Macaca fascicularis: one gene and its partners. The protein of the gene in region 1 interacts with the protein of each later gene in a biochemical or structural test. Links are inferred from orthologs where the notes say so. Each region holds a gene or a part of one and is shown in the gene's direction. Other genes may lie near its edges. The genes, in order: MED23, SREBF1 and ELF3.

The links.
Region 2: the proteins of MED23 (region 1) and SREBF1 form a complex in vitro, tested with the Homo sapiens proteins (2 studies listed by BioGRID). The link is inferred for Macaca fascicularis from reciprocal best matches to the Homo sapiens genes MED23 and SREBF1.
Region 3: the proteins of MED23 (region 1) and ELF3 form a complex in vitro, tested with the Homo sapiens proteins (4 studies listed by BioGRID, with this or other methods). The link is inferred for Macaca fascicularis from reciprocal best matches to the Homo sapiens genes MED23 and ELF3.

What each region holds. Positions count from the first base shown.
Region 1 is NC_088378.1:35,568,753-35,578,736, reverse strand, and holds part of MED23 (mediator of RNA polymerase II transcription subunit 23), read left to right. Parts: intron 1-838; coding exon 839-1,084; intron 1,085-2,000; coding exon 2,001-2,143; intron 2,144-3,120; coding exon 3,121-3,295; intron 3,296-3,952; coding exon 3,953-4,116; intron 4,117-6,450; coding exon 6,451-6,575; intron 6,576-7,850; coding exon 7,851-8,056; intron 8,057-8,144; coding exon 8,145-8,325; intron 8,326-9,905; coding exon 9,906-9,984. UniProt on the Homo sapiens protein: Required for transcriptional activation subsequent to the assembly of the pre-initiation complex. Component of the Mediator complex, a coactivator involved in the regulated transcription of nearly all RNA polymerase II-dependent genes.
Region 2 is NC_088390.1:17,938,450-17,949,026, reverse strand, and holds the start of SREBF1 (sterol regulatory element-binding protein 1), read left to right. Parts: upstream 1-4,953; 5' UTR 4,954-5,122; coding exon 5,123-5,213; intron 5,214-9,873; exon of another isoform or gene 9,874-10,093; intron 10,094-10,577.
Region 3 is NC_088375.1:59,751,111-59,761,795, forward strand, and holds ELF3 (ETS-related transcription factor Elf-3), read left to right. Parts: upstream 1-4,675; 5' UTR 4,676-4,918; coding exon 4,919-5,210; intron 5,211-5,884; coding exon 5,885-6,106; intron 6,107-6,271; coding exon 6,272-6,364; intron 6,365-6,567; coding exon 6,568-6,687; intron 6,688-6,874; coding exon 6,875-6,964; intron 6,965-7,108; coding exon 7,109-7,225; intron 7,226-7,726; coding exon 7,727-7,922; intron 7,923-9,416; coding exon 9,417-9,531; 3' UTR 9,532-10,200; downstream 10,201-10,685. UniProt on the Homo sapiens protein: Transcriptional activator that binds and transactivates ETS sequences containing the consensus nucleotide core sequence GGA[AT]. Acts synergistically with POU2F3 to transactivate the SPRR2A promoter and with RUNX1 to transactivate the ANGPT1 promoter.

The sequences.
Region 1 (9,984 bases):
ATCTGACCAGCACCTATATCAGGAAACAGCTACAAGATTAGTCTTGCTTTTATGTATAGATTTTTACAAAAAATTTTTCAAGGCTGATCTTCAGTTGAATATGTTATAAAGTTATTAATATAATGAAAGCATATCAAGTTTCATAAATGTAAAAATGTTTCAGAATTTCTCAAGTGCTTGGAACTTGAGCATGAGCTGACTGAGATATTCATCTGTGGGCTGCCAGGAATGATTGAGCTGATCTGGCTGGCATGCCCCTTAATATCTCTTCCAAAGTTGTGATGACTCAAAGAAGATACCATTCTTAGATAGTATTGTATTGTATTGTAGTCAAGGGTGCTAGGAATAGCCTAACTTCCCACCTAGAACTTCTGAAAAAGACTGCCACATCTCTTCATAGGATATGGCAGGGGAGTCAGACTTGATATTTCATTTGGTTTTCATTTTATGAGATACCCCTTAACCACCTTTTCAAAGTGATATCTGTAATGAAGACACTGTTGTGTTTATACAGACAGATAATAAGTAGAAACCTGGTTCACAGACTTGTGAGTTATTTCTTCGGTCTCTGAAACTTAGCCTAATATGGTGGCTGTATATGTAGTGCATACTTAACAGATACCCATTAATTGTTTATTTAAAATTATTTTTCTTCTGAAACACTACCTCAACTTCTATGTGTATTCCCACTATACGTTTCACACAGAAACTCGAATACGTATAGGAACAAAGATAGCATTAATAAATAATTGCATAAAATTGAACTTTTAAAAAAATACAAATTAACATTATGGAAGTAATTTTCGTTTTTTCTTTTTAATGGAACATGAATTTTTAGGTTCCTGCAGCAGAGTCTGAGAAATAAAAGTTTACAGATGAATGACTATAAGATTGCTCTATTGTGTAATGCATACTCTACAAATTCAGAATGTTTTACATTACCCATGGGAGCTCTGGTAGAAACTATTTATGGAAATGGAATTATGAGGATACCTCTCCCTGGAACAAACTGTATGGCTTCAGGATCTATTACCCCCTTACCCATGAACCTCCTGGATTCACTGACAGTTCATGCCAAAATGAGGTATGTTCTTTTTATTAATTTGATTCCATGTCAGGGAATTGATACGAGTATAGTATAAACCTTTATTTCATGGTTTTATGTGTGTAATTTTTCATAGTCAGGTACATTTAGGGAAAAAAATAGCTTTATTTTATTACAAAAGTAAATATTTTTTATTATAGGAATTCTAGGATAAACAAACCCAAAGAAAGTAATTGTCATAATCTCTCCATGAGAGATAAGCATTATAAAAATTTTTTGCACTTTTTTTTTTCGTTTTTTGTAGATAGTAAGAAGGAGGACTAGTGTAGCTAGAGCTTCCAACGTTTTTGAGAAGGGCTAGAAATCCAGATTTTTTATTACTAGTCTTTCAGCCTTTAAGTATTGGCTCAAATTTAAAACAACCACCGTATAGGCCTAAGAGAATTTGTCTGTGGGCCTCCAAGTGGAGCATCAGTTCTGGTAGAGCTATGCTCTTTTTCAAGTGGTAACCATTGTGATAGAATTACACATGTGCTTCACTTGCATGTATAACAGATTTGAGCAAAGCCTCATTAGAACCTAACATTTGGGTCTTAGCTATGATGTGTTAAAGTAAATCTGTGACAGAAGTTATTTAATTTCCCAAATGTATTTTGATGCATCATTTGAGTAACCAAAATCTCTCAAGCTTCCTCTTATAAGTTGAACCCAAAGTTTGTTTTCCCATGAGCAGGGGGATCCGTGTGCATATTGAAAGCACCATGGAAATCGGAATGAGTCTCAGGTTGTGCAGTGCATCCTTACCAAGTGTCCTGCACAATTTAAACACATTAAATGAATCAACTTCATTTGAATCATTTAAGTTCAAATTATACTAAGTTACTTCTAAGTAGAGTAGCGCCTATGTTTATGTCAAAAATATGGATTTTTATTTTCTTCCCTTTTTTCTCCTCAGCCTTATTCACAGCATTGCAACCAGGGTGATAAAACTTGCTCATGCAAAGTCCAGTGTGGCCTTGGCTCCAGCCCTAGTGGAAACTTACAGTCGTTTATTGGTCTATATGGAAATAGAGTCTTTGGGCATCAAAGGATTTATCAGTAAGACAGGACTTTCTGGTGTTTATAACTATTAATCCATTCATTAACTCTAAAGGTACTTTTCTAGTTCCGGGGACACAGCAGAGAACAAGTCACCACCATGATGGAGCTTATGGAGGGGGACGTTAAATAAATGAAATATATAATATGTCAGGTGATACATGTTATAGAGAAAAATAAAGCAAAAAGGAATAGGAAGTTTGAGGGTGGGAGGGGGGGGTTGTTGCATTTTTAGGTAAAGTGGTAAGAAAAGGTTAATGTGCTAGGTGCCTGGGATGTGGTGAGCAGGATAGACATGGTCCCTGTCCTCATGCAAATGGATTCTGCCTGAGGCAGTAATGCTGTCCTCCAGTGCATACAAAAGGCTGACTGGCAGTAAAGAAGGAATTCTCTTAGATTGCAGAAAATACATTATAATGTCTGTTATTTATTATGTAGTTCTAAAATAATAGATACTTTCTAATATAGAAGTGTTTTTCTGATTCATCATAATTCCAGCTTTTCATGAATACAGCATAGTTTTAATTTTAACCATAGTAAGTCTTCCTAGATAACTGATTGTTGAATAAAACTTTCTCGGGGGTAGGAGGAAACAAGGGCAGGTGTAAAAATACAGTTTTTTGTATTAAAAAGTGAACCTCATACTTCAAAAGGTATGGAACATTAACTGTCTAAAAATAAAAGATACCAGAATTGAGAAGATTAATGCTTTTTCGTATCTTGTCTCATTTTGTTTTTCCAGATAAACATGATTATCACTTGCCAAGTCCCAGGAAAAAATAATTGATATTATAGTTAGGATCCGAATTTTTCCTTACTGTTAAAGTAGAAAATAAGAAAATGTGGAGAATATATATGTGTGTGCGTGTGTATTTTCGCAATCAAATCTTTATATTTTACTCAATGTGACTTTCTTCAACTATCTTTTAATGCATAGCCTTTACTAATTGGTACCTTAAATTGTCTTTTTCCTCCAGGTCAGCTTTTGCCAACTGTTTTCAAATCACATGCATGGGGGATCTTACATACACTCCTTGAGATGTTTAGCTACCGGATGCATCATATTCAGCCTCATTACCGAGTTCAGCTCCTGAGTCATCTTCATACTTTGGCTGCAGTTGCACAAACAAACCAGAACCAGCTCCATCTTTGGTGAGCTCATTGAAGGCCATCTTTCCTTAAGATTTACTAGAAACTTTCTTGGAGATGAGGTTCTTAATCCTTTGCCTTATAGGTTTTTTTTTTTTTTTTTAATTCATCTGTCATAAAACTTCTCTGCTTCTAAAGTATTTTGTTTCCATTATAGGAGCAGAGTCCAGCTTTTTAAATAGAAACTGATTAAGATAGTTGAGTTCTTGCTTCAGGATCTTTGGACTGAGAATTAGTACTTTCAGGGTATTTATTATTATGTTGTAACTTAGCCCTTTAGAATGCTGTTTTTAAGTATACTTCAGATTATGGTTAAAGTATCATGTCACATTGATTTTGCTTTAAATTAAAATATATTTTAGATAGAAAAATATAATTTTTGAAATGCAGTATCTCCAGGTGAAATTTTTTAGTCCTATAGGCGACAAGTCATCTTTTTCAAATGTGTAAAAATGTCAAGATTTTCACTATAAAATTGGACACATTAGGTTTTTTAAACAAATTAAGCAACATTTATTCTCACACACAAGTGTTTTTTTAATTAAAGAAGGGATAGTCATATAGATTGCATGTTTTTCCAGTGTAATTAACCTTAGAATTAGATTTAATTCTATAATTCTGAAATTTTTTTACATTTCTTTTTTTTCTCCCACTTTTCAGTGTCGAGAGCACTGCTCTCAGGCTTATAACAGCATTAGGTAGCTCAGAGGTACAACCGCAGTTTACACGCTTCCTTAGTGATCCCAAAACAGTGCTCTCAGCAGAATCTGAAGAACTGAACCGAGCCTTGATATTGACCTTGGCTAGAGCAACTCATGTTACAGGTACGGTGACTATGTGACTACAAACAAACAAAAACAGATGAATTAAAGTGTGCCGTGATTCTACTAATTACTATGGGTATAACATACTAAAAAGATACTTTTCATTTGTTCAAAAAAAGCCAGTTGTTTTGATATCTTCACTATTTCATTCATTTATGGAAGCTCTTTTGTGTAACATCATTCTATTAATAACTGGGTTGAGCATCAGTTTTCAGTTATCTTCCATAATTTTAAAGTAGTAATTCTTTAAGCTTTTTGGTCTCAAGACTGCTTTACACTCTTAAAATTGAAATTCCCAAAGAGTTTCTGTTTATATGGATTATATCTATGGATATTTATTCTATTAGTAAAATAAAGTTTAAAAATATTTATTAATTTGTTTTTAAATAGTAATAAACATTACATGTTAGCATATGATGTTATGGAAAAAAGTATATTTTGTAAAGCAAAACTTTAGTGAGAAGAGATACCATTGTTTTACATTTTTGCTTCTCTAATACCCGATGTAAAGGAAGACATAGTTTGAATTCTCATCTGCTTAGACATTTAATCCATTGAAGTTTTAGTTGAAGTGAGTAAAAAATGTGGCCTCACACAGATGAGGTTAGAAAGAGAGGAGTATTTTAATAGCCTTTTCAGATCGTTGTGAATGTTCTTTGACATCACATGGAAAAATGATAGTTGCTTAAAAGTTAGTTGCGCCGGGCGCGGTGGCTCACGCCTGTAATCCCAGCACTTTGGGAGGCCAAGACGGGCAGATCACAAGGTCAGGAGATCGAGACCACGGTGAAACCCCGTCTCTACTAAAAATACAAAAAATTAGCCGGGCGCGGTTGTGGGCGCCTGTAGTCCCAGCTACTCGGGAGGCTGAGGCAGGAGAATGGCGTGAACCCGGGAGGCGGAGCTTGCAGTGAGCCGAGATCGCGCCACTGCACTCCAGCCTGGGCGACAGAGCGAGACTCCGTCTCAAAAAAAAAAAAAAAAAGTTAGTTGCAATGTGGAATCCAAAACCCTATCAGTGAACTTCACGTACTTTGTTACATTGTAATCTGAACATCTGTTTTGTACATTTAGTGGATTTTTAAATCCGTGCATGTTTTGTAACTTCATGAGTTATTCATTTTGAAAATATTGGTTCACTGAGTTACGTAGATCTAGCAAATGTTGACATTTTATCATACAGTATCAGAAAATTACATTTGTTAATATCACTGCAAAGTTTATTAGAAAAATCTAAGTTTTAGAATGCTGTCATGTCATGGTGGTAGATACATGTTTTCCAAAATTTCCATTTTTACTTAAAAGGTCAAATTTTATCATTAGTAAAAGTTACTATCATTTGTTTTCCTTGAAGTGACAAGCTCATTTTGTTAATTTTCAAGAAAATGTCTGCTAAATACTTAAGTCTAGCTAACTATAGTTTTCTGTCAGACATTCTTTCAAGTAAAATTGGAATTCAAAAAAAAAAAATGCAGCTGATTTAACTCAGTAGTCAGTCACACAAGTGTTTTTCCTCAAGACACCCATCAAACTTTGGAACACTAGGCATATGCTTCCCATTTTGTTAAATATGATATTAAAAATAAGTGTCGAGATTGACACTGGCACTTTTCTTTTACTGAGTGCATGTGGTGGAGAATACAAAGCCTTTTCATCTAGTTTGGCACCACTGTTTGATTTGTGCTTAGGACCAGCAGTTTTACCACCATTGCTTTTGCACCATCAGTGCTCATATCTAGTAAAAAAGCCAGTGATATCTTTTTATTATTATTTGACCTCACTGAATCTTTGAAGGGCTACTGGGGAATCCCTCAGAGGTCTGAAGACCACACTTTAGAACTGATGTTTTAAAGAGATAGTTACTGATTTTAGCAACCTCAAATACGTTTATGTAAATTATGTTGTTTTATGTAAAGAACCCTCTTCAATTCTGAGATTTATACATGCATTATGTAATTATTTCACTCTCCAAAAAAGACATCTTTCTTTATTCTGTTCCCTTGGCCAAATAAAGTACTACTAAATCAGTGTCAAAATAAATGAACAGTAGTGGTGGACCTGTACCATTATCACTGGTACTCTGTAACTTCAAAAAAGAGATTCCAAATGTCTTTTGTCATCTTTTCATAAATTGTTCTCATATTTTCTAATGTGATCATCCAGATCACTCAGAAACTAAGCAAATTTAGGTTCTAAGCTGGATATAACTAGTTAAGCAATGAATGCACTACAGTGAAATTCTCAGTGTACTTAATTATTATTTTTGCCATAATCTTTTATGAGTTGTGGACATAATCACTTATATCTGGATTACATCTATTTGTTTATGTTTAGATTTTTTTACAGGCTCTGATTCAATTCAGGGAACTTGGTGTAAAGACATACTTCAGACCATCATGAGTTTCACTCCTCATAATTGGGCTTCACACACCCTGAGCTGTTTTCCAGGCCCACTACAGGTAATTTTGTCTTGAATTACTTATTGAATACACATGAAATCCTTCTTCCCATTCACAGTGGTGTTCTAGAGTGAGTCTTGGTGACATCTGAATAAAATTAGCTTTTATTTATTTTAAAAATTATTTAGGGTCTGGGCATGGTAGCACATGCCTCTAGTCCTAACTGCTTGAGAGGCTGAGGCAAGGGGGATGACTTGAGCCCAGGAATTTAAGGTTACAGGGTACTATGGTCACACCACTGCAGCACATCCTGGGTGACAGAGCCAGACCCTATCTCTAGGGGAAAAAAAAAAAAAATTGTCGTTACTTCCAAAATCTCTCAAGTTGTTCTGTGTCCTACTCTGGGACTGGGCATGTTTCTAAAAGTTTAATTTTTGTGGTTTCACCTTAGGTAACAGTTTTAAGGGAAGGAAGAGTAGGAAGAGGAAAAAAAAGTGAAAAAATTTGAAAAAGAGAAAAAAATAGTTAATGGTTTCAGAATCTCATGAAAATTAACATAGTACCTGAAAATTTTTTCTCTCTCATAGAACTGAAATGGGGAGAAGTATAATGTAATAGAACTTCACAGAGTGCACATATATGACACTTCACTGAATTTTTTTTTTTACTCCCAGAAAAACTATAAACCTGGCTTTTCTAGTAGGGAGAAAGGCAAACCTCATCTGTCTTCTCCTTTTCAGAAAAAATGTTAGGCATGATGAACGTCCATTTTTCGTAACTCCTGTTAGGGCTAGAGCATTTGTTTTTCAAATTTACCAAATCACCTGGAGGGCTTGCTAAGCTATAGATGGCTGGCGCCCCAGCCACGGAGCTTCTGATTCAGTAAATCTGGGATAAGGTCTGAGAATTTTGCATTTCTTGTAAGACCAGATGATGCTGATACTGCTGGTGTTGGGACCACACTCTGAGAATCACTGGGCTAGTGCAGTGGATTTTCCTTAGAGACACTAACATATGTAGCCAAAGGGTGGAGACATTTCATTCTTTTTTTTCTCTTTAAGACTGGTGGAAGTATCAACAGATGATTGAAGAAGCTTTAAATTCAGGCTTGCTTATAATTTCAGTTTAGGAAATCTAGGAAAAGGAATCTTGGAGATAATCTAGTTAAGCTTATGTATTTTCCAGATACAGAAATTCAGGCCTTAATTGCTCAATTGCTCAAGGTCACCTAAAGTTTATTAATGTCAGAATCAAGCCTAGAGCTGGTTTATTAACTGCATATCCAGTGCTCTTTCTACTATAACCAATGAAATAAACTTCTGATCCTCTTTTTAGGCGTTCTTCAAACAAAATAATGTGCCTCAGGAAAGCCGTTTTAATCTGAAAAAAAATGTGGAGGAGGAGTATAGGAAGTGGAAGTCAATGAGCAATGAAAACGACATTATTACCCACTTCTCTATGCAGGGCTCCCCTCCTCTCTTTCTTTGTCTTCTCTGGAAAATGCTCTTGGAAACAGATCATATTAATCAAATTGGCTATAGGTAAGTCAAAAACCTAATTTGCATTCCATTTGGCAAATTGTTGTATCCATACAACAATGGAGTTTATGTTTTACTCTCTGCCTTCCAGAGTATTAGAGAGAATTGGAGCCAGGGCCTTGGTAGCCCATGTGAGGACATTTGCAGATTTTCTGGTATATGAGTTTTCTACATCAGCAGGGGGTCAGCAACTCAATAAATGCATTGAAATTCTTAATGACATGGTATGGAAGTATAACATTGTTACACTGGACAGATTAATTCTCTGCCTGGTAAGAATAAATATATGTTTCTAAGCTCTTTTAGATCAAGATGTATGACTAATATATCTTATGCCAATCTGCTCTATATTGCTTTGAAGCATTTAATGAATTTATACTATATCAAGCATTGCTGTCACTTCCCTAAAGAACTACAAATTTTCCAATTTCTTTCTTTTTGTTTTGTTTTTTGTTTCTTGAGACAGAGTCTCACTCTGTCACCCAGTGCAGTGGCGTGATCATGGCTCACTGCAGCCTCAATCTCCTGGGCTCAAGCAATCTCCTCCCGCCTCAGGCTCCTGAGTAGCTGGGACTACAGGCATATGCCACCATACCCACCGAATTTTTTTTTCTTTTTAACTTTTTTGTAGAGATGGAGTTTCTCCATGTTGCCCAGGCTGGTCTCGAACTCCTGGGCTGAAGCAATCCTCCCTCCTCAGCTTCCCAAAGTGCTGAGATTACAGACATGAGCCACTGCTTCCGGCCCCAATTTCCTTATTCATTCATTTAATAAGTACATATTGAATATCAACTGTGTTCTATGTATAGAAGGTATAGAAGTAAATAAAATAGATGTGGTCCTAGCCTTGTGATACTCTAAAAATATGAGCTATTAGACCTTGAGTTGATTCTCCAAAACTCCCACTAGAGGCAGGTAGTAGCAGTAAGTCACTGTGTTTCTTTACAGAGTGCTAATATAACCATTTCTGTACACTTTGGTAGCAAACATTCCCCAAATGTTTTTTTTTTCTCTCTCTCTCTTGACTTTGATGTCTATTTCTGGTAGATTTCTTTTTTCTTTTTTTTTTTTTTTTTTTGAGACAGAGTCTTGCTCTGTCACCCAGGCTGCGTGATCTCAGCTCACTGCAAACTCTGCCTCCCAGGTTCACATAGTTATCTTGCCTCAGCCTCCCAAGTAGCTGGGACTACAGGCGCCCACCACCATGCCTGGCTACTTTTTTGCATTTTTAGTAGAGATGGGGTTTCATCATGTTAGCGATGATGGTCTCAATCTCCTGACCTCATGATCTGCCCGCCTCGGCCTCCCAAAGTGCTGGGATTACAGGCGTGAGCCACCGCGCCTAGCCTTCCGGTAGATTTTTTAAAAAGACGCTGAAGTCGGCTGGAAAATGCCACGTTGAAAAAAATTGTATGGTGGTGATATTTGGAGTGGCATAGTTTAACGTTAACCCCTTAGCTGTGGAGCATAGATATAAAAGTAGTTATTATATTTTAGGGGAAATAATGTAAGTCTATAAATCAATAAGATAACAGGATAAGGTGGAGGTGCAGAAAAAATATTTCCAGGAAACAGTGAGAAATCTTATCTGCTTAGGTGATAGATGTGAAAGACAGATTAAATTTTTAAAAATAAAGATGGACATCCCAGGCAGAAGGAATAGTAAACCAAAATAGGCAAGAAAGGTCATGTATGTTTGGGGAATACTGAACAGTTGGTTTGGGATAGACTAGACGTCTAAGGAAATTATGGTGGTGAGATTTTACTTTGTTAAAATTTAGGCTTTCAAATGGCCCTCATGGTTTCGCACAGATTGAACATTTTCATATAATTTTTCTGTTGTTCTTCAAAGGCCATGCGTAGTCATGAAGGAAATGAAGCCCAGGTTTGTTATTTCATAATTCAGTTGCTGTTACTCAAACCAAACGATT
Region 2 (10,577 bases), on another chromosome or scaffold:
GATGGTCACTGCAGTGTGGACGGAGGGGGCCAGAGATGGGAGTGACACACTGAGGGCACAGACTTGGACACAGACAAACTTCTGGACTCTCCCAGCGTTGCCTCCTCACCCCTTGGATGGAAGGCTCTGTCCTTAGAGCCCCATGAGAACTGTTTTCCATCCCTAGAGATCTGGGAGGGGCAGTGTGGGAACATTGTGGTCCCATCACTGTTCACGATGCACCTGCCCATGAAAGCACCTGAGAAAGAGGGATTCTTTTCCAACCCACCTGTTTTCCAAGAAAAGGGTCTCTTTTGGGTCCTGGGGGCAGGGGAATGGCAGAAGCTGAGACCTTATTAGGTTTGCATGACCCACCCAGAAATTCTATCAGTTTATTTTACAGGAGCCCCTGTCAGAGCTTTTGGAGCAGACCCCAGATGAGTCTGTCTAGGGCCTCCAAGCCCAGGCCCTCAACATTCCAGGATGCAAAATCTCTACTCTCAGCACTAGGGAGTAAGCAGGATGCTTCCGGAAATTGAGTGGACTCCATTGTCTGGTGCCATTTCCTGTCCACCCCATGCCTACCTGGGGTTGCAGGCTTAACTGTAGGTGTTGGGTAAGTCACCGTCTCACTCTGTTCTTTACTCTCCTGATCCTGATCCGTAAACTGGTGTAGTGGGTAGTAAACCCAATGCCCACAGGGGCCTTATTACATGGATTTCCTCACTCTCCCTGCTGCCAGCTAGACTCACCCCTTTCAGTATGTAATTGGCCTCTCCTCAAACAGCCAGTTACCCCCCAGAGAACAGGTATCACTCTTCCTCAGCCTTTGTGAGCTACACTCCTCACTGTGCAGCAATCTTTGGGGTTCAAGTAGCTCTTTTGTAGAGGGTGTGTTCAATGACTCATGATAAGCCTGCAGGTGCCCACGTGGGTGTGAGCCTCCAGGGGCAAAGCTGGCCATGGAGGCTCAGAGAGGGCTGGACAGAACTTGCCCAGCTCACCACAGAGCCCAAGCTGGAATGAGACCAGGAGCATCATCTACGACCAGAATCATCCATGTCAACAGTCATCTCACCCCGTTATATACAGATGAAGACGTGGGGGAGGGGAGACTCAGGCGCTGAGCAGTCTCTTCTCCTAGCCTGGTCCCTCCGCCATAACCTGGGCAGGTCCCAGCTTGGCTCCCACAGCAGTGAAGGATATGCAGGGCCAGGCAGGGTGGCAGGGGGCTCTGGGAGTGGGGGGAGGGGTTTCAGTAGCCTAGGCAATGGCTAGGGTGGACAATCCAGTCTTTCTGCCCAGTGCCCGCCTTGCCATCCACCGCTGAGCTCCGGGCACCGAGGGCATGTCTGGACAGGACGAGTGGCCTGGGAAGAGGCCCTGCCCGCGCTGGACGCCTGCCCGAAAAGGCCCGAAACCCACAGAAGCTGCCTCTCAGTCTCTAAGAGACTTGGAGGAAGCGGGGAGATGCGAACCCCTATCTCCCAGATGGCAACGCCGAGGTTGGGCAGGGGCCGGGCTGGGTGACCTGGGAGGAATTCTCTGCTCTGGGCGCGCCACGCAGTCCCGGGTGGGGCTGTCCCGTGTTAGCCCTTCCGTGCCCGCGACGCTCACCTGGCGGTCGTCCCGGCCAGGTGTCTGGCCTGGGGGCTGAGCTCAGCCTGTCCCCGCCGCCCCTCCCTGCCTCCCGGGTCGAGCGGGCGCAGCGCATGTGACCCAGGGCTGGGCTCCCGGGAGTACGCGCTGACGCCGCGTCACCCCACTCCGGGCCGGGTGCCCATTGGCTGCGCCGGACCCGCGGGGGCGGGGCTGGTCTGGCTCCGCGCCCCGGCTCCCCTGGGTCTCCACCCGCTGCCCTGGACGGCGCGTGTGCTGAGCCGGCCCGGCTCTCCGGCTGCCTCCAGCCCCGACAAAATCAGGGGCAGCAGTGCTGTGACGTCCTGAGCAAGTCGCTTCACCGCCCCACTCCGCGTGCCTCAATTTACTCAGCTGTAAAATGGGATGGTAACAGCCTCAACCGCCTGAGGCTGTCGAGAGGAGTGACTGGGTTTAAACAGCATTGAGCACCCTGCCAGCGCTCAGCGAGTAGACTGAGCGGAACCTGCCCGCCCGGGTCACCGTGGGCCAGGCTGGATCCCTGACCCGACAGACACACCAGTACAGAGGGGCTTGTGTCCACGTTCCTTGGGCGTGCTCAACGCTCCCCAGCCAAGCGGGGCCCGAGGGTCTTGCTTGGAGGTCTCAGGATCTTTGAGGGGAGAAACCGCCAAGACAAGCATGTTCCCCCTGAAAAATGGATCCCCACTTCTGTTTTCCCCTACCCTCACCTTGAGGGTTGCCCCGGTAATTCCAGGCAAAATTCTTCCCACCCCCACGTTGGACTGTGCCCCATGGGGGTTGGATTTTCTGGGGTGCAGGTCTCCTGTTGACGTTGTCTTGCCTTCTTTCCCTTTACCCTAACTCCTGCAGTTATGGAGTGAATATTTATTGAGCTATTCTATTTACATATGTGGTAACCCATTTAAAAAATGGTGAGGCGGTTTGGGTGCAGTAGCTCACGTCTGTAATCCGAGCCCTTTGGGAAGCTGAGGTGGGTAGATTACTGGAGGCCAGGAGTCTGAAACCAGTCTGGCCAACAAGACAAAACCCCATCTCTACTAAAAATACAAAAATTAGCCAGGCTTGGTAGTGCATGACTGTAATCCCATCTACTCAGGAGGCTGAGGGAAGAGAATTGCTTGAACCCGGGAGGCCGAGGTTGCAGTGAGCCGAGATTGTGCCACTGCACTCCAGCCTGGGAAACAGAGCGAGACTGTCTCAAAAACAATAACAACAACAAAAAACAAACAAACAAACAAAAAACAGTGATAGCCAGGTGCAGTGACTCACACTTGCAATCCCAGCACTTTGGGGGACCGAGGCAGGTGGATTACCTGAGGTCAGGAGTTCAAGACCAGCCTGGCCAAAATGGTGAAACCCTGTCTCTACTACAACTACAAAAATTAGCCTGGCATGGTGGCATGTGCCTGTAATCCCAGTTACTCAGGAGGCTGAGACAGGAGAATTGCTTGAACCCAGGAGGTGGAGGTTGCAGTGAGCCGAGATCATGCCGCTGCACTCCAGCCTGGGCAACAGAGTGAGCCTTTGTCTCAAAACAAGAAACAAAACAAAAAACAGTGAGGCAGATCTGTTGTGATGATGACTCCAAAGCACCCTCCCTGCCTCTGCAGTGACTGCAGGAAGGGTTATTCCCATTTTACAGATCCAGTAGCTGAGACTCAGAAGTGAGGTAAGTGGATCCAGGTCACGCAGCAAGCAGGTGCAAACCCAGATCACCTGCCTAGCTCTGAAGAAAATGGTATTTAGGCTTCACCCAGTACTTCCTATCCCACCCCCTCCCTGGGAAGGGCTGTTGAAATTTTCAGGGAAATCATCGGCTTCCTGCCGCCTCCAGAGTGTTGGTGGGGGTAGGGCACTGAGGAGAAGCCAGCTTTGTTCTCTGTGTTCTCCAGCAGTTGTTCATCTGGAGGGAGTGGGTCCTGGGTGGACCCTTGAGCAGAGCTACTTGGGGAGATGTGGTTTGGTGACCCCTATGACTTCTGGCTCCCCTATTCTGCGTAATTTTCCACTGCAGCCACTTCTGGGAGAGGAACAAAGGGAGCTGGATGTCCAGGCTGAGCCCCAGGGACTTGGGCTCTGTGGCTTCTCTCCCCCACACACCCCTTCTAAAATGCATCATGAATTTTACTCCTGCTTAGGGCGTGGTCAGACAGGCTATATCTGGAGTCTGAGCAAGGCCGTCCGCAGGATGGCTTGACTCATGAAGGTCTGGGGTCAGGAAGGCCTGAGGCCCAGGCCCCTGATGAGTTTCCTGGGCTGGCCTCCACCAAGGGTGCTTCTCTCTGCTTGCATACCTCTGGGGACAGGGAGCTCACTGCCTTATCACATTCAGATACCTGAATGTTAATTCCGGTTTATTTCAACCCACCTCATTGGGACCCCATCCCTCCTTCCTGCCCCAACCTGGCTCTGTCCCTAGGCCACAGAACCAGGTTTGGTTTCCAGCCCCCTTCTCAACAGGGCTGCCTGCTCTGACCTAGTCCCAGTTTGTCATGATCCAGGGCAGCCTGGCTCTGATCTAAAGCACAGCCACCTCTTCCTTGTGGCCCCTATCCTGACTGCTCCCGGGAACAAGTACCAAATCTGGGGTCAGACAGTCCTGGGGCCAGTCTTCCTTGGGTACTGGCTTCCTCCTTCAGGAGCTGCACTGGGCCCACTGGTATCCTATCCCTACAGCTGGATCTGGGAGGAAACCAAATGAAGACGATAGGAAATTCCAGCCTCTTTCTTTGGCCACTGCTGTCCTCAAGAGGCCAATCTTCTGGTTTTTTTGCAGAGAGGGGGCAGGCTGATCTCACAGGTCATGCTCCCCTCCACATTGTCACTAGCCTCCCAGCCAACCCGTGAGGAAGCATCATTAGGCCAATGTTACAAATGAGGAAAATTGAGGCAGAGTGATGTAACTGGCCCAGCAGTTACATCAGGCCTGCTCACAACACAGCAGGCCTGAGACCCCTATAACTTGGATCCTGCCCTGTCCTGTGGTAAAGAGTCAAATCTAGGAAGTGAGGAAATGAGGTTTGGGATGGGCCCAGGCCTGGGGCTTCCACTCAGCTCTCTTGCTTGGTGCTGGAGAAACAGAGGACCAGAGAGGGGGCTTGGCTTGCCCGCGTTCCTGCAGCAGCCGGCCAGAAGCCGCTGCCATTGTGCGCGAGGCTGGATAAAATGAATGACTGGAGGGCGCTCTGGAGGAGGGGCCGGCTGAGGGGAGATTTGTGGCGCAGACCGGGGATCAGGGGTCCCCCGCTTCTTTCAAGGTGGGGCGGGGCCGTCTATCTGGGAGGGCGGGGCTTTCCCGAAAGGCCCCGCCTCCGCCTCGACCGCCCAGCGGAGCCGCAGCAGGGGGAACCCAGTTTCCGTGGAACTTTTCGCGGGCGCCGGGCCGCCTCCGAGGCCAGGGCAGGACACAAACGCGCGGAGCGGCGGCGGCAACTGCGAGCCGGGGCCGCGGCGGCGCTCCCTGGGAAGGACCGTACGAGGCGGCGGGCCCGGCGGGCCTCCCGGAGGAGGCGGCTGCGCCATGGACGAGCCGCCCTTCAGCGAGGCGGCTTTGGAGCAGGCGCTGGGCGGGCCGTGCGATCTGGACGCGGCGCTGCTGACCGACATCGAAGGTGCGTCAGGGCGGGCAGGGCTCGAAGCCGCGCCGGGTGACGCGAGTGGGGGGCGCGCAGGTGCCTCCCTGTCCTTTGTCTCCCCCGCGGGCGCCAGCTCCGTGCTGTGCTCGCGCTGGACTTCCCGGCGTCTCTGAGCTGCGTGCCGTGCGCCTCGGTGTCCCGGGCCTAGCCGAGCCTCCCTGGTTCCCGCCCTAGCGTCTCGGGCCGCGAGCTCGGAGGTGAGGGCTCTTGGGCCGGGCCGGGGTCCCTTGGCGACTCCGGGCCGGGACACGTGCGCCCCTACGCGTCCCAGGCCGGGTGCCGCCCGACCGGTGACTCTTCAGCCCTGTGGTGGCCACGGCTGGAGCTGGGGACCCGGGCGTCGCCGAAGCTCCGCCCCAGCCCCAGCCGTGACGTAATTGCGAGGTTACTCACGGTCATTCCCTCCGGCCCGAGAGTTCAGCTCAGCGTCGGAGCTCTTACGCATGCGCACTGGCGCTGCCTCGCGCCCTTCCCCCGCCTCTGGTGGGGTTCACCAGGTCTGCGACGGGAATCGCCTCCGCACCCATTCACTGACATCCACTGAATGCCAGGCCCCGTCTTAGGCACAGACAGACCTGGGCACCCCCTCTTTCGGGAACACAAAAATCCCCCAGGAAACCAAACGGGTATTTAGTTGCACCTTGGGTGGAGCGAGGCTGGCGGGGAGGGCAGGGCAGGGATGTGGCTACTTTGGGCAGAGCAGTGAAGGACTTCTAGGCTGAGACCTGAGGGTCACCCCCAGGACCAGCAGGGAAAGATGTTTTCCAGGCCACGGCAAGGGAAGGGCAAAGGCCTCGAGGCAGGGCGTAAGTGTGAGGAGTTAGAGGCTTGCAAGGGAGTGAGGTCAGGGAGGAGGAGGACGCGAACCGACTTGGTCGGCCAGGGAAAGGGCAGAGCAGGACAGTGGCACCGGCTTCCATCTTTGGAGCGCCACTCTGGCTGTGATGAGAAGGGGCCAACGGTGGCACCAAGTGCCAATTAGGAGGCCCGTTGCTTCCATTTTGTAGACAGAGCAAAAGGAAGCCCCTAGCAAACTGCCTCCATGGTTTCTGTGCAGGAGTTTTAACAACACTGGCTAAGTTGCACTTGGTTGATGAGGAAACTGAGGCCAAGGTCGCAGGAACAAGATGCCTAGACTCACAGCCTGAATGGACATGTCCATGGAACCCGTGGCCACCCTGGGGTTGGCAAAATAGATACATCTATGCCACCCCCACTCCTGCCCTACTGCAGCCTTGCAGATCACCCAGCTGGTTGCCTGCCCCAGGAGCTTCCCAGCCCTTCCCACTGGGGCTGGGCTAGGGGAGGACCCCAGAGGAGAGGCCCTGATTGTGAGGCTTTTCCAAAACAGCCTCCCCTATCCCTGGCATGAGGGGTTGTCCTTCACTGCCCTCTGGAGTGATGAACCCTGAAATCCCAAGCCCTAGGGAGATCTGGGCTTAACTACCAGTTCCACATCCCTGGGCCCAGTGAGTGTAGTCCAAGAGGCAACGTGACCAAGCCAGGAGGACATGGGCTTTGGGGTCAGAGGTTGAACCTGGACACTCCTCATTTCCTTTATCATCCTGCTCAAGCCCTCTCACCCTCTGAACCTTAGTTTCCACCTCCAGAAAAATGAGGATGCAAACCCTCCCTTCATGGGCAAGTTGGACAACAGAATCGGGTCTGGGCCACAGGTCTGAAACAGACCTTTCTTACTGACTCATGAATAAAAACACTGCCTCTCCAGACCCAAAGGCCAGGCATGGGCAGCCATGTGGCCCAAGGTCTAGTCTATGAGAGAGTGGGGGCAGCCCCTTCTCACTAGGCAAGCCTCAGCTTTACCCACTTCAGTAGAGGATTTTTCAGTTTTTATTCAAACTTCCTGTTTGTCTTCCCAATTACACATCTTTTTTTCAGTGTAGAAAAATTAGAAAGCACAAGTGAGCAAAAAGAAGAAAATAAAATCTTTAGACCAGGGGTGGTGGCTCATGCCTATAATCCCAGCACTTTGGGAAGTCGAGGCAAGAGGATGACTTGTGTGCGGGAGTTTGAGACCAGTCTGGGCAACATGACAAAATCCTGTCTCTACAAAAATAAAAAATTAGCTGGGTGTGGGTGACACGTGCCTATAGTCTCAGCTACTCTGGAGGCTGAAGTGGGAGGATTGCTTGAGCCTGGATTTAGAGGCTGCAGTGAGCTATAACCGTGCCATTGCACTCAGCCTGGGTGACAGAGTGAGATTCTGTCTCAAAAAAAAAAAAAAACTTTAAACCTACCACCCAGAGATAAGCTCTGCTAATTATGTGAAAGAGCTTTTCTTCTCTTTTTTTTTCTCTCTCTCTCTCTGTCTGTGTGTGTGTGTGTGTTTGGGGAATGGCTGCACACTCTTCATAGACTTTTTTTTTTTTTTGGAGACAGGGTCTCACTCTTTTGCCCAGGCTGGAGTGCAGTGGCATGATCTCAGCTCACTGCAACCTCTGCCTCCCAGGTCCAAGAGATTCTCCAGCTCCCAGGTAGCCGGGATTACAGTCGTGTGCCATCACGCCTGGTTAATTTTTGTATTTTTAGTAGAGATGGGGTTTCACCATGTTGGCCAGGCTGGTCTCGAACTCCTGAGCTCAGGTGATCTGCCCACCTTGGCCTCTCAAAAGTGCTGGGATTACAGGAGTAAGCAACCATGCCCGGCCTTCATCAATTTTTTAAAACAACTTTATTGAGATATACTTTATGTATCACAAAATTTATCAATTTTAAGTATATCGTTCAATGATTTTTAGTTAACTTTCTGAGTTGTGTGACCATTACTAGCTGTAGAACATTTTTATCTCACAGTGAGATCCCTCATGCTTGTTTAGTCACTTCCCGTTCCTGCTCCCAGCCCCAGGCAGCTATGGATCTGTTTTTTTGGGGGGGGTTGTTTTTATTTGAGACGGAGTCTCGCTCTTTCACCCAGGCTGGAGTGCAGTGGTGTGATCTCGGCTCACCACAAGCTCCACCTCCCAGATTCAAACAGTTCTCCTGCCTCAGCCTCCCGAGTAGCTGGGACTACAGGTGCCCGCCACCATGCCCAGCTAATTTTTTGTATTTTTAGTAGAGACGGGGTTTCACCATGTTAGCCAGGATGGTCTCAATCTCCTGACCTCGTGATCTGCCCACCTCGGCCTCCCAAAGTGCTGGGGTTACAGGCGTGAGCCACCGTGCCAGGCCAGATCTGCATTTTTTTTTTTTTTTGAGATGGAGTTTCGCTCCTGTTGCCCAGGCTGGAGTGCAATGGCATGATCTCAGCTCACTGCAACGTCCGCCTCCCAGGTTCACACGATTCTCCTGCCTCGGCCTCCCCAGTAGCTGGGATTACAGGCATGCACCACCACGCCTAGTTAATTTTGTATTTTTAGTAGAGACTAGGTTTCTCCATGTTGGTCAGGCTGATCTCGAACTCCCAACCTCAGGTGATCTGCCCGCCTCGGCCTCCCAAAGTGCTGGGATTACAGGCATGAGCCACCGTGCCTGGCCAGGATCTGCATTTTTATAAATTAAAATAGGGTCCATTGGTTCACAGCTGATTGGATTCTGCTTGGTTCCATGTCATCAGCCAGATGACAGTCAGGTTCCTTCATTTACCCACCTGATCCCCTGTCAATGGGCACCTAGGTTGTTTTATCTTTATAAACTGTGCTGCAGTGGACACTGAGGCCAGTCTTTGCCCAGATCTTCACTGTGTTCCTAGGATGAGGTTCTGGGAGGGGAATTGCTGGTCAGAGGTTGAGCCTGCTTTTGAAGCTTCTTCTACCAGGTGTGGAGCTTAGCAGGTTTGATAAGGTCTGAAGATTTGGGGGTGGAAATGCCAGGTCCCTTGAGAGACATGAGGGATAAGAGGGGGCCAGGACAGCCTTGAGTGCCAGAGTGCAGAGCTGGGCTGGATGTGGGGATGGCCGGGGGTCAGAGCAGGGGCACGCTGAGCTTCAGCTCCCTCTGGCTGCTCAGGTGGAGGATTGTAATGTGAACAGAAAACACTAATTGAGTACTTACTGTGCTCCAGACACTGTGTTGATGATCCCACTTAATCCCCTGACAACCCCAAGTAGGTAGACATATGATGAAGATGATGGCCTCGAGGACCAGAGAGGTTAAGTGACTTGCCTGAGATCACACAGCCAGATGATGGCAGAGCCAGGATTCAAACCCAGGCTGTGGGCTCCAGAGCCTAGCTCTTAAGCTCTTAATCACTGGGCTCCTAAGAATGGGGATGAGGCTGGGCGTGGTGGCTCAAGCCTGTAATCCCAGCACTTTGGGAGGCCGAGGTGGGCGGATCACGAGGTCAGGAGATCGAGACCATCCTGGCTAACACGGTGAAACACTGTCTCTACTAAAAATACAAAAAAATTCGCCGGCGAGGTGGCAGGCACCTGTAGTCCCAGCTACTCGGGAGGCTGAGGCAGGAGAATGGCGTGAACCCGAGAGGCGGAGCTTGCAGTGACCTGAGATCCAGCCACTGCACTCCAGCCTGGGCAACAGAGCGAGACTCCATCTCAAAAAAAAAAAAAAAGAATGGGGATGAGGGGTTCAGGGGGGCTGCTCCACATGGGGCTACTCTGGGGGCCTGGAGGTGGGTTACAGAGGGATCAGAGGCTATGTGACTACCTCCCCATCCCAGTCCAGAGCAATGTTTGAGTCATCAGACTGGGAACCAGCCCTGGTGAACCAGCGAAGGGCCTTGGGCCCCATCCGGTCCTGCTGCCTGCCATGGCCAAACTCTTGTGAATGGATTTGGGGATGGAGCGGCCTCCGTGAGTCCTTGCGTCTGTGGGTGAAGGCACTGCCCTGGCTGTAGAGTGCCCCTGGGTTTGAGTCCTGCCTCTGCACCGAGACCTCAGGTGAGCCTGTCTCGTCCTGCACCTCAGAGTACCTTGCGGCAGTCGGGGAAGGATGGATTGGGAGAGTGGCCCTGTACCTGTGTTGGGGATTATTATTAAGCCTGTGGCAGTCTTCACCTCCCTGCTGAGGATTAATTGATCTGATTTTGCACAAGCTTATGAGTGCAGAAGAGGCAGATGGAAACAGAGTTCTGGCCGAGAGCCTGGAAGGGGGCCTCGGGGGTCTCTTTCCTCTGCCTGGACCCCGTCATGTCTGGTCTTTGTCTGTCGGACCCCAGATGTCTGCCAAGCCCGGTCAGAGGCTGCTTCCCAGAAAGCCCTTCTGGGTGTCTCCGTACCCTGAGTAGTCCGTTCTCAGAGTTCTCCCGCCCTGATGTCCCTCCCAGCATGCCCAGCCCAGCCACGACAGGCCCTTGCTTCTAGTCATGTGTCTGGCTGTTTGCTGGGTCCAGGTCAGCCCTAGTAGGGCACACTGGGGGCCCGC
Region 3 (10,685 bases), on another chromosome or scaffold:
TTTTCAGGTTTAATCCTTATTTTAATAAAGTTTTCAAGCAAAAATTGTTATGGATTGAGTGACTATTACATTTCTTCCACCAGGGGTCCCCACTGTGTTTGTTCAGGAAAGGTCACTGGGGGAAGCCCAGAGAATGACAGTGTTTCCCTGTCCTCAGCAAACAGCCAGGGTGAAGGAGGTGGGTGTCCCACCCATGCATATGAAAAAATATATGGCAAAATGGCACAGCTGGTACAGGAAAATGAAAAAGGAATAGCATTCCAGTTCTCCGTGAAGCAGCTGAATTCTCTCCCTGCAGCAGCATTCCTATTATCATTTCCATCACTAAGAAAAAAACAAAAGTGGGCTGGGCACAGTGGCTCATGCCTGTAATCCCAGCACTTTGGGAGGCTGAGGTGAGAGGATCACTTGAGCCCAGGAGTTTGAGACCAGCCTGCCCAACATAGTGGGATCTCATCTCTACCAAAAAAAAAAAAAAAAAAGGTCGGGCGTGATGGTTCACGCCTGTAATCTCAACACTTTGGGAGGCCAAGGCAGGCAGATCACTTGAGGTCAGAAGTTCAAGACCAGCGTGGCCAACATGGTGAAGCCCCATCTCTACTGCAAAAATTATATATGTACAAAAATTAGCCATGCATGGTGGCGCACACCTGTAGTTCCAGTTACTTGGGAGGTTGAGGCAGGAGAATCACTTGAACCTGGGAGGTGGAGGTTGCAGTGAGCTGAGATCATGCCGCTGCACTCCAGCCTGGGTGACAGCAAGACTTCTATAAAAAAAAAACAAAACACAAAGATAGCTGGGCGTGGTGGTGCATGCCTGTGGTTTCAGCTACTCAGGAGGCTGAGGCAGGAGGATCACTTAAGCCCAAGAGGTCAAGGCCACAGTGAGTCTTGACTGTGCCACTGAACTCCAGCCTGAGTGACAGAGTGAGACCCTGTCTCAAAAATAAAAATAAAAAACTGTCTTACGACTTTTTCTCTACCCTTCTCCCCATCCCCAAGGCTTCACTGGGCCTCACCTGTCTTTGCTCCTGGATGACTATTTGAATGGTGTGGTAATCAGTAGTCTTTTAGAACTTAGCATTAAATTCTGATTTCCTGGCCTCAACATGGGGACCTAAACAGTTAGCAATCTGGGTTTGGGAGTGGGATGAGGGGAGGGTTGGAAGAAATATTTAGTGTGTTTCAGTTGCCTTTCTTTAAATACAGGGCACCCCTGAACCAGCCTCTGTTCGCAGCTCTGCTCTGTCCTTGGCTTTAGGTTATCAAACAGGCTTTCTCCCTCCCCTGCACAAGGGTCGGGAATGAGTCCATTTGCTTTCACTCAGCAAGAGCAAGGGACTAGTGACCAAGTGGTCGACTGGAGAGGCCTCTGCCCCATGCATGGCACACTCAACTTCACCATCAGAGAGGGCGATGTGGGTCACAGGAGAGGGATCTGGAGGCCCAGGATCGGAAGAGACACTCTAGGCACTGGCATTTTGACAGCAAACTCCTGTGGCTCTTTCAGGACTGTTCCTGGCAATATGTTATTGACAAGGACTATTTTAGGGCTATCCAGTTGCCTCCCCCTCTCCCCAACCTGGTGTCTAGCTTATCAGTAGCTATCTTTCCTTGCTCTTTACAAAAATCTATAGCACCCACAGGCCCAGTAATCATGAAAGGTCACTGGAAGGAAAGGCTGGAAGTCCTTCTTCTAACAGCCGTTCTGTGACTCCACTAACTTTGTGGGTTCCCATTTCATAGCACGGGTATCCTGAGCTGTGTAGCCTGCCTCACTCGCCACCTTTGTACCCGACAGGCCTACTGGATGTGGCTGTCCTTTTGTAGGGCATCCTCCCATCCCACAGATGAGGCTGTGCTGCCGTGTGGGCAAGCTCTGTGGGGAGAGGGGAGGCCAGTGGGCTGTTTTTGCCATCACAGAGTACTGGGAAGCCCCTGGCATCCTGCTCCGTAGCTCTCTTGACCACTATCCTGGAATCTTCTCCCCACCCCCATCCCCATGCTTCCAAGGCACTGACCTCAATCCAGTCTTTCCCACTTATCTCAAGCTGCTAGTCTGTAGGGATTCCTTATCTCAGCTCCATGTCACCGGTGAGGAAGCTCCAAGAAGGCAAGGGAGCTGAGAGCCTTCTCATTTTTCTCATACATCCTCCTCTTCACCCCGCCATCCTGGGAGCCCCAGCCAGATACTCTTCAGGGCAGGGAGCACGTGAGCAGCCCTGGGGCTAGAAGCCGGTTCTCCCACATTCCTGGGTGAGGGACTGGGTGGAGGGTGTGCCTGCCTCAGGCTCCTTGGGGGAGGCCCCCTGAAGGGCTGGGGAAAATCCTACTGAGCCCCAGGCTCTCCTGCCTGCACTGTCCCAGTGCGGGGGTGGGGGGTGGGGGTGGGGTTGGGGGGGGAATCCTGGACATTAACTCTCTCCTAGGCACCCAGGCGCTTCAGAGAGGAGGAAGGTAAGAAGCAGATTCTCTGGGCAGGACTTTCTTTGTCCTCAGGCTATAGAGTTAAAGAAAGGAGTATCTGTGGAAGGTGGAGTCACCTTTTGTTTGAGTAACCATTTCACCCACCCTGGCTGAGGGTGGCCAGGAACTCCGCAAGTTATGCATTAATGGAGGTGGGTCACACAGATCCTACATTTTTTTTTTTTTTTGAGATGGAGTGATTACAGGTGTGAGCCACCGGATCCCACATTTTTAGATGCATAAAAATCTATATCTGGGCTAGGCACGGTGGCTCATGCTTGTAATCCCAGTACTTTGGGAGGCCGAGGCAGGCAGATCACAAGGTCAGGAGATCGAGTCCATCCTGACTAACACGGTGAAATCCCATCTCTACTAAAAATACAAAAAGCCGGGTGTGGCGGTGGTCTGTAATCCTGGCTACTCGGGAAGCTGAGGCAGGAGAATTGCTTGAACCCAGGAGGCAGAGGTTGCAGTGAGCAGAGATCGCGCCACTGCACTCCAACCTGGGTGACAGAACGAGATTCCACCTCAAAACAAAATAAACAAACAAAATGCTAGATCTGGAAGCGATCTTAGGGATTATTGAATTCAGACAACCTCATTTTTTATAGATGAGGAAACAAGCGCAGACTCCAAGGGTCTCACCCAAGATGACACAGTTGCAGATGTTGGCTACAAGTCTCCTGCCTCAGCCACCTGTATTACCCCATTCAGGATCTCAAGGAGGGTCTATAAGACCCTGTCCATTGTGTTTCAGGCTGAGTCCATAGAGACAACCACAGACATGGGGGACTCTACCCACAGGGAAGGCAAGGGCTCTGACCATGGAGCTGGGAGGGAAGACTCTGAGTCCTGTGCAGGGAAAGAGCAAGGGTTTCATGTACAACACACCTGCATACCTGGGTGTGAATCTCAGCCCCACCCCTTCACCAACTCTGTGTGGCCTGGGCAAGCCATTCTAAGGGAACCCTCCACGCTGCAACTTTCTTGTCTATAAAATGGGAATAACCATGCATTCTTTACAGGACTTTTTTGGTGTGAGGATTAAATGAGAGAATATGTTGAAAAGTGCTTGGTAAATATATTAATACTATGCGTTCCCTCTTCGTTGAATGACGTGACCCAGATAGTCAGGCTTCTGACCACTAGAGGGCAGCAGAAGGCACCGGAAAACTGGGTCCAGTGAACCAGAGATTGGATGAGTCCAGAGAGCAGGGATGAACTTATCCGTGTGGATTCTGGCAACTCCGGCAGGGAGGGCTTCAGCAGACGCTGAGGGAAGAACTTTCAAGCAGAGCCGGGTCTCTTCAGGAGTGACTGCAGCAACCCTGATGCTTGGATGGAGTTCAGGCAGGTGATGGTAGTGAAGACCTTGCCAACAGATTGAGTGCTGGAGAAGGACCCCTTTAGTGGGGACCCTGGAGCCAAGGCTAGGCTGGCAGGCCCAGCCACCACCAATTAATCCATGAGTATTGCCCAGCGTTGAGCCTGGAGCACCTGCCAGCCCCTGGCCAGAGTCCTGGGTGTTCTTGGAAAAACCCCTAAACCTAGTAACTCCTCTCCCTACTAGGCCTCTTTGTCGCTGAATCGCTGGAATTTAGGGGCCAGCAGCTTTCTGATCCAGGTCAGCCAGAGGTTCACAGTCCCTCACTTTCCCTCCCCCTGCCTGGCCCATCTCTGGCCTGGCCCCTGGGAGGATTTTCCTGGGCCAGAGGGCAGCAGAAAGCACAGATGCCCACCCCAGCAATGTTCCCGCCACCTGCCCAGGCTAGTGCCCTGTGCCCAACCCCAGAGGGTGCGGGATGACAGACTCTGACAATCATTAAACCAGCCGGGCCTGATTTCCCAGCACCGCCTGCTAAGATCCGGGCCAAGTGGCACTGAATATGCAAATCACCTGGGGCCAGGAGCCCAGTCTAAAGGCCAGGAAATCCCCTCCGTCCAATGAGCCACCAGCTCAGGTTACTGCAGGGGATGTACTATAAAGGCCTGAGCTCAGGGAGGAGCTCCCTCCAGGCTCTATTTAGAGCCAGGTAGGGGAACGCAGCGGCCAGACACCTCAGCGCTACCTGGCAGAACTGGATTTCTCTCCCACCTGCGGCTTAAGCCTGACTGCCAGCCTGCCTGCCACAGCCGGACTCCACCACTCCGGTAGGATTCCCTGCCTGTCATTCCCTAGAACAGCTCTTGGGAAACTGCAGAGGGGTCCAGAGGATTTGCGGTTCTGAATCTGCGCACTCCAGTCTAGGATCTCCGAGCAAGAGCGTAGGTGTTCTAAGTGTCGAAGAACAGACAGAGATCGTCTCTGGGAGGGCAGAATGGCCATGACGCTGCCAGTCTGACTCCAGGGCCCCAGAGATCTGAGGAGGGAAGTCCAGCTGGAGGCTTCTGTGGTCCTGCCCTGGTCTGAGATCTTGGAGCCCTTCTTGAAGAGAGGGTGTCTGCAGAGTTGATGATCTTCCTGCCCCTGGGGGCTACTCTTGCCCATCATTGGGCAAAGCAGAGTAGCTGGGAGTGTAAGGAGAGGACCCTTGTCCCCTCACCAACCTCATCCCCTCTCCCCCTACCCACAGGTAGCCTCATGGCTGCAACCTGTGAGATTAGCAACATTTTTAGCAACTACGTCAGTGCGATGTACAGCTCAGAGGACTCCGCCCTGGCCCCTGTTCCCCCTGCTGCCGCCTTTGGGGCCGATGACTTGGTGCTGACCCTGAGCAACCCCCAGATGTCATTGGAGGGTACAGGTGGGTCTCAGCGGGGTGGGATGGGGCACGGAGTGGGAGACAGATCCATCTAAGGGCCTGTTAGACAAATGGGAGAATGGGCAGGGAGGAGGGTCTCTGGACGAATTCCAGGGCTAGAGGCTGAGACGTAGTGACTGAGGTGCTGGGGGTTGTGGGGCTGTGACAGTCAGAGGGAGGTGTCAGATACCAGGACAAGGGTGTTGTGAATGCTACCTCCTGCCCCTACTCTTGGGATGGCTCCAAGGGCTGAGGTGTGAATCCCCAGTGTGCTCTAGGAATGGGGCTGTGTGGGCTGGGAATGGTGGCTCACACCTGTATTCCCAGCACTTTGGGAGGCTGAGCTGGGTGGATCACCTGAGGTCAAGAGTTGGAGACCAGCCTGGCCAACATGGTGAAACCCCGTCTCTACTAAAAATACAAAAATATTTTAGCCCATCTTGGTGGTGGGCACCTGTAAGCCCAGCTACTTGGGAGGCTGACGCAGGAGAATTGCTTGAACCCAGGAGGTGGAGGTTGCAGTGAGGCGAGATGGCGCCATTGCACCCCAGCCTGGGCGACAGGAGCGAAACTCCGTCTCAAAAAACAAACAAACAAACAAACAAAGAAACAAAACAGCGCTGTAAGGTCTGCTGGGTGGTCTGGACTGAGCCTGTTGCCATGCCTGGCCCTTGCAGAGAAGACCAGCTGGTCGGGAGAACAGCCCCAGTTCTGGTCGAAGACACAGGTTCTGGACTGGATCAGCTACCAAGTGGAGAAGAACAAGTACGACGCAAGCGCCATTGACTTCTCACGGTGTGACATGGACGGGGCCACCCTCTGCAATTGTGCCCTTGAGGAGCTGCGTCTGGTCTTTGGGCCTCTGGGGGACCAACTCCATGCCCAGCTGCGAGACCTCAGTGAGTCCAGGCCCCTGGAAGCGGGGGAGCAGCTCCATATGTTGAGCTGAGTTGAGTTCAGTGTGACAGTGGGCAGGCCCTGGAGCTCTGGGCCAGCGGCACAGCCAGAGAGAACTCTTCAGGGAGGGATGAAGGGAGTGTGACCCTTCCTTCCTTCCTTGTCAGCTTCTAGCTCTTCTGATGAGCTCAGTTGGATCATTGAGCTGCTGGAGAAGGATGGCATGGCCTTCCAGGAGGCCCTAGACCCAGGGCCCTTCGGTGAGAACCCGTTTTCTCCTTCCTTCCCCAGCGTGTCTTGTCCCATCCCTGCCCCTCCACAGAGTGCTAGAGATGACCCCCTCCCCAGACTTCTTCCTCCCTCAATTAGAAAAATTGCAGCAGGTCATCAGACCCATGGGCAGCCTCACCTGTCCTGGTCTGGTCCCCTGAGCCCTCTCTGAGTTCTCACCTCCTCTTCCCAGACCAGGGCAGCCCCTTTGCCCAGGAGCTGCTGGACGACAGTCAGCAAGCCAGCCCCTACCACCCCGGCAGCTGTGGCGCAGGAGCCCCCTCCCCCGGCAGCTCTGACGTCTCCACCGCAGGTGAGAGTCTTCTCTGGGCCACAACCTCCCTTCCCCAAAGTGTCCCTGGTTCCCTCCGGCTCCCAGCACCAGAACTCAGGCGTTCTGGCAGGAATAGGAACAGGCTGGGAAGTGTGTCCTGAGAGCCAGCAGCATGGTTCAGCAGAGGGTGGGCCGGCAGGGGACTTACTCTGACCCCACCCCCCAGGGACTGGTGCTTCTCGGAGCTCCCACTCCTCAGACTCCGGTGGAAGTGACGTGGACCTGGATCCCACTGACAGCAAGCTCTTCCCCAGAGGTGAGTCGAGGGAGGTCCCCAAGAGGGTGTCCCATTTAGCAGTGTACAGAGGGCCCGGCTCTTTCTGCAGCCTTTTCCTATAGAGGGGCTGCTCTCCCTAACTCCCCCCTTGCCCTCCTTGATCTTCCACCACCGCCCCCACAGATGGCTTTCCTGACTGCAAGAAGGGGGATCCCAAGCACGGGAAGCGGAAACGAGGTCGGCCCCGAAAGCTGAGCAAAGAGTACTGGGACTGTCTCGAGGGCAAGAAGAGCAAGCACGGTGAGCTTCAGGGGCCCCTGGGTCCTCCCTGCACCGAGGCTGAGCTGCTTCCCCGGGCACTGCGGGTCATTGTGGGTATCCCTCCTGCCGTTCTTTCTGGCCTCCACACGGCCTTTGTTAAGGCTGTGCACAAGCTGGGGGCTCTATGGTATTGGTCACCACCTAATTACAGAGCCTTGCTTGGTGGTCCTGGAGAGGAGGAGGAAATAAGGCTCCCAGTGGGAGGCTCATGGCACTAGAGTCCTGTCCACTGACTCCAGCCCTCTCTGCACTTGGCCACTGTCCTGCCTTCTGGGACACCCTTGGTGTAAGGAGGCAGCTGGTGGGTGCTTACGTGGGCTGAGGAGAAAAGCAGTCACTGCAGTACCCACACAGAGGCACTCTGGAGGGGCTTGCTCCATGCTGTGGCCGAGTCAGCAGTGCGCCGGGGCGGGCAGGGCCAGCTGGCCTTGAGTGAGAGGGGACACCTGGATGGCAAACTGACGGAGGCTGGCCTTGTAGCACCCAGAGGTACCCACCTGTGGGAGTTCATCCGGGACATCCTCATCCACCCAGAGCTCAATGAGGGCCTCATGAAGTGGGAGAATCGGCATGAAGGCGTCTTCAAGTTCCTGCGCTCCGAGGCTGTGGCCCAACTGTGGGGCCAAAAGAAAAAGAACAGCAACATGACCTATGAGAAGCTGAGCCGGGCCATGAGGTGAGCTGGCGGCCAGGACCCTCACCATGCAGCCAGACACGGGGACAGTGCTCACACTCCCACTGCCCTCCTCCTGGATGCCACTTGGCTGCATGCAACAAGGCTGTGTCCTGTAGAGTGAGGACAACATCTGGGTTGGCCTACTTGGTGGATTAAACGACAACAGGGAGGAAGTATTAGCCTGGCGGATGGCAGACACAGTGTGCTTGAGCTAACAGCAACATTTCTTGTATCACCTGTGAGGCTCGTCCTCAGGAAGGCACCTGGAGAGTCGGGAAGTGGGTGGGAGCTGTGCCCACCCAGGGCCTGGCTTTCTCCTCATTGAAGCACTTAGCTTGCTTTTCTCCGGGCCTCAGTTTCCTCCTATGTCCAGGGGTAGACTAGGTCATCTTAAGGTCCCATCCAGCCCTAAAATCATATACTTACTTTCTTTTTTTTTTTTTTTTTTTTTTTTTGAGACAGAGTCTTGCTCTGTGGCCCAGGCTGGAGTGCAGTGGCTCGATTTCGGCTCACTGCAAGCTCCGCCCCCTGGGTTCACGCCATTCTCCTGCCTCAGCCTCCCGAGTAGCTGGGACTACAGGCGCCTGCCACCACGCCCGGCTAGTTTTTTGTATTTTTTTAGTAGAGACGGGGTTTCACGGTGTTAGCCAGGATGGTCTCGATCTCCTGACCTTGTGATCCGCCCGCCTCGGCCTCCCAAAGTGCCGGGATTACAGGCTTGAGCCACCGTGCCCGGCCTTTTTTTCTTTTTTAAATAGAGACAAGGGTCTCTGTGTTGGCCAGGCCAGTCTCAAACCCCTGGTCTCAAATGACTGCCCTGCCTTGGCCTCCCAAAGTGCTGGGATTACAGGTGTGAACCACTGTGCCTGGCCTTTTCTTTCTTCTTCTTTTTTTTTTTTTTTTTTTTTTTTTTTGAGACAGGGTCTCGCTGTGTTGACCAGGCTGGAGTGCAGTGGTACAATCTTGGCTCGCTACAACCTCTGCCTCCCAAGTTCAAGTGATTCTTATGCCTCAGCCTCCCAAGTAGCTGGGATTACAGGCACCTGCCACCATGCCCGGCTAATTTTTGTATTTTAAGTAGAGACGGGGGTTTCACCCTGTTGGCCAGGCTGGTCTTGAATTCCTGACCTCAAGTGATCCGCCCGTCTCGGCCTCCCAAAATGCTGGAATTACAGGCATGAGCCACCGTGCCCAGCTGCCTGGCCTTAAAAATCATGTACTTTAATGATCAGACCCCAGTCATAGCCATAGGATACAAAGAAGCAAGGGCAGAGAGCCATGTGTCCTGGGCACAGTTACTGGCCAGTATAGGGACAGAGCTTCTGCTTACGGGTGGGAAGAACAGAGGAGTTCAGGAAGTGTGAGTCAGGCTCGGCTTAGGCAGATACCAGTGGGCATGGGTCACCTGGGGGTAACGCGGGCTAGGTGGGAGGGCTGGCGACTCGGGGCCCGTTTCCTGCCTAAGCACCTCTGACCATCCTTCTCCCCACCCAGGTACTACTACAAACGGGAGATCCTGGAACGGGTGGATGGCCGGCGACTCGTCTACAAGTTTGGCAAAAACTCAAGTGGCTGGAAGGAGGAAGAGGTTCTCCAGAGTCGGAACTGAGGGTTGGAACTATACCCGGGACCAAACTCACAACCACTTGAGGCCTGCAAACCTTCCTGGGAGGACAGGCAGGCCGGATGGCCCCTCCACTGGGGAATGCTCCCAGCTGTGCTGTGGAGAGAAGCTGAAGTTTTGGTGTATTGTCAGCCATCATCCTGGGACTTGGAGACTATGGCCTCGCCTCCCCACCCTTCTCTTGGAATTACAAGCCCTGGGGTTTGAAGCTGACTGTATAGCTGCAAATGTGTCTCCTTTAATCTGGTGCCTCCTCAAACCCAGTCTCAGACACTAAATACAGACAACACCTTCCTCCTGCAGACACCTGGACTGAGCCAAGGAGGCCTGGGGAGGCCCTAGGGGAGCACCGTAATGGAGAGGACAGAGCAGGGGCTCCAGCACCTTCTTTCTGGACTGGCGTTCATCTCCCTGCTCAGTGCTTGGGCTCCACGGGCAGGGGTCAGAGCACTCCCTAATTTATGTGCTATAAATATGTCAGATGTACATAGAGATCTATTTTTTCTAAAACATTCCCCTCTCCCACAGAGTGCTGGACTGTTCCAGGCTCTCCAGTGGGCTGATGCTGGGACCCTCAGGATGGGACTCCCGGCTCCTTTCTCCTGTGAATGGAGGCAGAGACCTCCAATAAAGTGCCTTCTGGGCTTTTTCTAACCTTTGTCTTAGCTACCTGTGTACTGAAATTTGGGCCTTTGGATCGAATATGGTCAAGAGGTTGGAGGGGAGGAGAATGCAGGTCTACCAGGCTGAGGGGTGAGGGCAAAGGCTGACGAAGAGGGGAGTTACAGATTTCCTGTAGCAGGTTTGGGCTTACAGACACGTGGACTGGGCTGGGAGGCGAACAAAGGAAGCAGGTGAGACTGTCAGAGAATGCTTACAAGACTTCATGCAAGCAAGGACATGAACTCAGAAAACTGAGGTCAGAAACATCCTGCTGTCGCGACACCGCTTGGGTGACCTTGACCTTGACCAAGTCTGCCCTGTTTGGGACTGATTCTTCCTATAAGGCTAGGGTTTGGACCTGATGTTCTCAAGATGTCTAGAATTGCATGGCCGGCCTTGTGGAATAGATGGTTTTGCATTCCAGCCAAGTGGGCTGTAAGCTGTTTATCTGTAATATAAATCCCAGCTTTTGAGTC